Tribolium castaneum: one gene and its partner. The protein of the gene in region 1 interacts with the protein of each later gene in a biochemical or structural test. Links are inferred from orthologs where the notes say so. Each region holds a gene or a part of one and is shown on either strand. Other genes may lie near its edges.

Region 1 (3,703 bases):
GTTATTTGAAATCGGTGCTTGAGGATGCGAGACCTTACGCTCGCATGAAATTAATGATAGTGGGAGTGCAAGGAATTGGGAAAACGAGCTTGTTGGAACAGTTGCGACAGGAAGGGATAACGAGGAAACGGCCAGAGGTAAAACTGCGCAATAACTTTGTTTTCATTCGAGAAAAACTCAATTTAAGTCTAGCCTAGTGAAGTCCAAGACCAGCAAATATTTCCTGAGACAATTTTCTACTTTTTCGTTTAATCACGCTTTTTAAAAATTATTTATAAAAAGTCTAAGTATTTGTGATTGTGTAAATTAAACAGAAAAATTAATAACAATGACGGCACGTGTTCAGGTGTCATATAGGTCAGTTAAATTTTCGGTTACCTCTAGTTAACCAAATATTTTTTAACGCTCCCAGTTTGCTACTTCTCCGATTTTCATAAATTAATAATTTAATATTGAACTAGATTTTATTTACAACGTAATTCATTTTTATCCAAACTGCACTTGTACTTAAATAATCATAATGTAACACTTGATGATAAGAGGAAGAAAAATTGGAGTCACCTTATGGCATCTATTTCTGCTACCGTTTGTAGCTAGCTTCATTTTCTTTAACGGACCTACTGAAATTAAAGAAATATTAAATCAATACGATGTGCCATTATTTGAATTTAAAATATTTTAAATTTAATCTATCTTTTTAAAGAAGCACGTAAAGAAAACTAACTCTTTAATCCAGATTATTTCTTTTATTTCCCCCTGGAAGATCCATTTTATTGGCACACACTAGCACTAGCCACTCGAAATTTTAAAAAACGGGCACTGAAATAAACACGCCCTGATCACTGAAAATAAAATTGGACAAAACGACATGGTTTATGTTTCCAACATAGAGAAATGTGTCTGTTTACGACAACAGCAAGTGACAAACTGAATAATATTAAACAGATCATTAATTGTGTAAGACTATGAATAAATCGTCATTAACAAAAAATATAATCTGTTTATGTAACTTATCGCAGCAAAAGGAGAAATAAAGCAAACAAAGGCTGATCCAAAATTTTGTAAACAAACATCTTTTAAATTATTGTATTGGGTGGACGACAATATAACAACAATTCTGTTGTTATATTCAAGTTTCATTAAACAATTTTAACGTTTTCTAGGTATAATTATTTAAGAACTTGACTAAAATACAATGAAAATTTTTTCCTGGTTTAATGTTTTCTAAGTTAAAGCCATCTCCATACGTATTTCAAATCGACCAGCTCAGTTTAATATAATTTTTACGGAGCTTTATATTCATTTATTCGTTAATTTTAACGTATTTAAATAAATAAAAAAAATAAAGGGAGGAGAAATGCTGGTCAGGGTATTTACGAATTACTCATTAAACACTTGAAGTAAAACGAATTCATTTATTTTGAGTAAAGTGAAAAGTGTTACCCAAAGTTGCCCATTTTCAGCACTGGGCCAAACGCATGGGAAACAAAAATATTAACGTAAAAACCTCTCGAGGCACAAATATGTCAACAGTTGGGGTAGATATCGGCGATTGGGTGTATGAAAAAAAAGTCCGTAATCAATCATCACACGGTCCTGTAATTTTCAGAACGTGGGATTTTGGTGGACAAAAAGAGTAAGTGTTAAAACACCTCAATCCCACTTTTATTACCACTCAAATCCAGATATTACGCCACCCATCAGTACTTTTTATCAAAACGAAGCTTATATTTGGTCGTTTGGCGAATAACCGACGGCCATCGCGGCATCAACGAGATTTTGCAATGGCTTGTTAACATCCAAGCCCGGGCACCAAACTCTCCTGTAATCATAGTCGGCACACACTACGACGTGGTGCAAGAATGTAACCCTAACATCTCGGAAGAGTACCAGCAATTAATTCGCGACAAGTTTATCAATATTGTTGATGCGGAAAAATGCGGCTTGCCTCGAGTTCTGGACACGATTGAAATCAGCTGCAGGACTAGACACAACGTGAAGTTGCTGTGTAATTTAATCTACGACACCGTGTTCAGTTTACGGCCACCAGGAAGCAAGGAATTGTTGTTGGAACAAAAAGTACCGGCCACGTACTTGGCATTAGAGGATGTGGTTAATCACATCGCGGCCGAACGGCGGGTCAATGGGCTTGACCCGGTCCTGAATGCCGAACAGTACCGGACTATTGTAACGACGGAAATGCAGCAACGGTTCAATCGGGTGTTCAGGGACTGGGCTGAGCTCCACCAAGCCACCTTATTTTTGCACGATAATGGTACTTATTTAATTTTTTAATTTTTCATTTCTCATGGTTATGGCAGGTGTTTTGCTGCATTACGACGATGCAACTTTGAAAGATCTCTACTTTTTGGACCCCCAGTGGCTGTGCGATATGTTAGCACATGTTGTTACCATTCGTGAGATTAATCCTTTTGCGCGCTCCGGTGTCATGAAACTTGACGATCTCAAGCACATTTTTAAAGCTAGTAGTATCGGACCAATGGATGCGCGTGGTTATATCGTCAATTTGTTGAATAAATTCGAAGTTGCGCTAACTTGGGATTCCCGCACTTTGTTAATCCCGTCACTTCTACCCTCGGAAGAGGATATTCTCCTAGCGCAGTTATACCCCGGCCAATTTCACCCTTTAGTCAAGGTTAAAGTGCCGCTAAGGTCACGCGGATGGGCAATCAGGAATAAAAAAATAACTGTTTCGCCAAAATCGGTCTTGTACCGGGATACGGGCGCCCAGGGCAAGTTTCAAATGAGTTTGCCTTCGACTTCGTCTTCGAAAAGTGGTCAGTTTGGTCAATGTTAAAAAATTGGGGGTTTTATTCTCAAATTTTAGAAGAAATTGAAGAGGAGGCAAAGTATCAAGTGACGAGTTCGTCAACTGACCAATCAATCACCCGACTGCTTTTAATGTCGTACTTCCCGTCAGGGTTTTGGTCACGACTTATTTCACGAATTTTGGCCGACGACACTATTATTGATATTATACGATCATTTTTTATTCTCCCGAAAGAGGTGGCGCAGGATTTAGATCTGGTCAAGTTGCTAGATTTGAAGGCTGAATGGGTGCTTTGGCAAACCGGCCTTCAGCTGAAATACGGCGATATTACGTTATTCCGAATGAGGGAAATTTTGCACAACTCTTCGTCCTACTACCGACAGTTGAAGTGAGTTTAGCCGATTTTTGCGCACTTTCAATGCGAAACGACAAAAAAACTATATTAAAATGAAACTGAACCAAAAAATATCAGGCAGATAGAACATTAATTATTATTCAGACATTCCATAACTGACGGGACACTTTACACAAAATTTTTAGACTTTATTTTCACTTTATACGAATAGTTTGAAATAGCCAGAAACTACAAAAATATCCTTCAAAAAATATTCAGCAGCAGTTGTACACGTCAGTATTTTATGTTATTGCCTACAAGGCATAGTATGTAACTTTTACAAATATTACTTCAATTTAAATGATTGTTTCTATTAAAAACTTTTTTGTAGCAAAATACATTAAATACAAATCGAATCGTGTATTTTGGAAGAACTGTAACATTACAAAAATTAGTTTGAAATTTCGGTATGAGGTTGCATTTTTCCTGGAATGGCTGTAATATTGTTTATGACAAAGTGTTTGAAGCAACTTTTTGATTCAAGATGCAAAAAAGGGTACAGAATTAAATTTCCAACG
Region 2 (3,133 bases), on another chromosome or scaffold:
ACACTTTTAACACCTTCAATTCGGAAAAGTAATTTTCCCAAAGGTGAACAATAAGCCGCTTGTCCGTTAGGAAAATCTATAGTTTGGCCCTCCTCTAGAACTTTAACCCCTGGCAAAAACTTGAGACTGTTTGGATTTGGGGTCTCTTGAGTCTGAATAAACATTGATAACTTTGGAGTGGTTGAGATAAAGCGTTGGAGTCCACTGTCTCGGAAAGGGGCCCACTGAAGGGAACTACAACCATATAACCTCACTTTTTATTCTTTCTTACATAAATACTTACTTGTAGGACTGCACAGCAAGTTTCTTGGATTGCTGAGGCAACTTTACCAAAAATCGAAGTGAATTACGCCACATTTTAAGATTTGCTTATTTTAATTTTATGGTTAGAATACCGACATTTGACAGATTGGTTGAGTCAATATTTTCTGCTTAAATTGGAGAATTTACAATATGTCTTTGGTAATTAAATTCACAAAGGTGGGAAAATTTAAGGCTACGAAAATTACACTGCAAGAGTTTGGCTTTTTAAATTCTGTTTATATAAAAAGCGCGGTTTTCAAATTTTCATAATTAATGCAAATAAATGTATGGCATTAAACTTTTATTTATCGCTTTTGTTTATCATGAAAAGTGACTCTGTCTTCTTAAAACTGAAACAGTTATCCGATAAATTATTCTGATATTGCCACAGGGGTACATTTATAAATCAGTCCAATAAAATCCGTTATTTATAATTGCTACTTGTGTTTTTATTAGTTCCTGACGTTTCTGTTTACGAATTTTCAAAATATTGACCTTTATTATTCGTACGGGACTGATTTCTTTTTTATTTATTTATGTTTGAGTCATATATAGTTCGATCAGTGAAAAAAACTATTTGCTAGGTTGGTTATGAAAAAATAGTCTCAGATGCCCACAAGTATTAAAGTAAATCAAACAATAAATCGATTTCGGGTTAACGATGCGTACAAATACCTGAAATTTATGAAGCACGACTCAAACAATCGAACTCGGTGACTCACATTTGCTCCTCCATTGGAGGAAATCAAATAATTATTGATAACGCAGTTCCGCAATTCACACCCAGCCAACAATCCCAAACAACGCATTTTTTTACATAATTTATGTGAAAAAACCTGCACCTAATACGCATTTGACTGAATGCTAATCAACAATAATAAATAAATCCTTGGAGGTGGTTGAAAGTTTCAACTTGAAAATTTTAAAGCTTTTCAAGATCCCCCCCAAAGCGCGTTTATTTGTTTATTTTTCAGCTTAAAAGTGGGAGAAATGCACAGTTTGGGAGGGGATTAGCGCTCCTTATATAATTTGAGTGAGCGACGACAAAATTGTTGTTTTCGAGTATTAAGCACGTGTTTTTTTCCACTCCGACATGTCGGCATCACCGATGGCAAGACAAGTGACCGAAAGTAAGGCCATTCCGACCAAAAAAGTCCTTATCAACGACCCTTCTGAACTGCCATCGCACTACTCCTCCACACCAGGAGGCACCCTCTACTCCACTACTCCGGGAGGTTTGTTATGTTTTTTTGAGTCATCTACATATAAATTTATAAATAAATAATCAATTTGCCACTTGTTATCTGCGCGACTAGAGTTCATCGTGGTCTTATGTAATTATACTTAAAAAAAAAACAAGACTCGGATGAGCGTTGTCTACACGTGGAGAATTTATAATGTGACCTTGAGTAAACATTGGTGATAATAGTAAACATGAGTTAATTCTGGCAAGCTGCGAAATACGCAGTTTTGCAAATATTTCCCTCAAAAATTCACAAAAAATTCCTTTGACCTAATCCAACACTGATAAGTCGGGAGAACTTGACCAGACGCACGTTCGTGTTCTTGTGTTTTTGCTTTTGTTATTATTAATTAGTGTCAAGGCTTTTTATTTTCGTCGCTCCACATTTCTTCCGCTTCATCGTCTTTGATTTTAAGAAATTCGCCAAATGCACAATTCATTGATGTTTATTATGCAAAACAACACGATAAAAAGTCCTTGGATCTGAATTGTACTCATCTCTTGTCTATATCTTATCGAAGAAGCCTCTCGACGGGAGAACCTTATTTTTACGTATGAATCATGTTTCAGGTACGAAAATAGTCTATGAGAAGGCATTCTTAATGAATTTACGCAACTCTCCCATTTCGAAAACTCCTCCAAGTTACGGAATCCCTGAAAACTTGATGCGAGGCAAAACGAATGGAAGCGCCCCCATCAGACGGTTTTCACCTCCGACCAAAAACCACTCAGCGAAAATTGAAGATTCGCACGACGAACACCAGTTCCAAATCGACATTTAGTTTTACGTTTTTCTCTAGTTTAGTTTTTTTTTGTATTGTGAGAGGATACTCGAAGTCAGACTTGATCTTGTATTATCTGATCAAAAGATTGAGTTTTATTGTTATAAAAGTTAAAACGTAGAAAATTGACAACTGATAAGGGATTTTACAATGGTGATAAGTCGCACAACGACTTAATTATACGCAAACAAAGGGAGGACATATGCCCGCTTTAAGATTTGTTATTATTTTCTTTTGTATTATTTAATGCTTTTCGTAATAAAATTTCAGAAAAAATGGGATGTTTTATTTATTTGCCTAACAACTGCTATCGCAACGATAAGGATTTATTTAGCACAGTTTGTTGAACTAATATCCGGAAATTGTATTATTTAAAATTGCCACCATACAATCGACACCAAAAAGGTGGACTCAATAATTTAATTAATAGTAAGTAAATTAAACTCATCTCGTTACAAACACTAACCTCCACTTACTTACCTTTCTTTTTACCTAACTCGTGGCCGCTCCAGCGATTAAAAAACTAAAACGCAAGGTGCGCTAACAAACAGGTCGGCTCATAGTTCAAAAAATAATTTATTTTAATTATCACACTCTCTCGACGACATGTACTTTAACAAATCAACAACACGGCACGCGTAGCCCCATTCATTATCATACCAACTGATCAACTTGATAAAGTTTCGAGTAAGGGCCACACCAGCCCCTGCATCAAAAATCGAAGATCTCGAGTCGCCGATTACATCAGATGAGACAATTTGGTCGTCAGTGTAAGCCAAAATGCCGTTCAAATATCCATCAGCGG

The links. The genes of interacting proteins can lie anywhere in the genome.
Region 2: of the proteins of Lrrk (region 1) and Thor, one has a biochemical effect on the other in vitro, tested with the Drosophila melanogaster proteins (2 studies listed by BioGRID). The link is inferred for Tribolium castaneum from reciprocal best matches to the Drosophila melanogaster genes Lrrk and Thor.

The regions. Positions count from the first base shown.
Region 1 is NC_087397.1:4,499,624-4,503,326, reverse strand, and holds part of Lrrk (leucine-rich repeat serine/threonine-protein kinase 1), read left to right. Parts: coding exon 1-137; intron 138-1,463; coding exon 1,464-1,636; intron 1,637-1,685; coding exon 1,686-2,275; intron 2,276-2,321; coding exon 2,322-2,798; intron 2,799-2,848; coding exon 2,849-3,179; intron 3,180-3,703.
Region 2 is NC_087399.1:195,808-198,940, reverse strand, and holds Thor (eukaryotic translation initiation factor 4E-binding protein), read left to right. Parts: upstream 1-1,328; 5' UTR 1,329-1,396; coding exon 1,397-1,538; intron 1,539-2,116; coding exon 2,117-2,328; 3' UTR 2,329-2,543; downstream 2,544-3,133. Other genes in the region: NFU1 iron-sulfur cluster scaffold homolog, mitochondrial, read right to left, coding at 1-234, 284-357; glyceraldehyde-3-phosphate dehydrogenase, read right to left, coding at 2,910-3,133. UniProt on the Drosophila melanogaster protein: Repressor of translation initiation that regulates eIF4E1 activity by preventing its assembly into the eIF4F complex. Hypophosphorylated form competes with eIF4G1 and strongly binds to eIF4E1, leading to repress translation.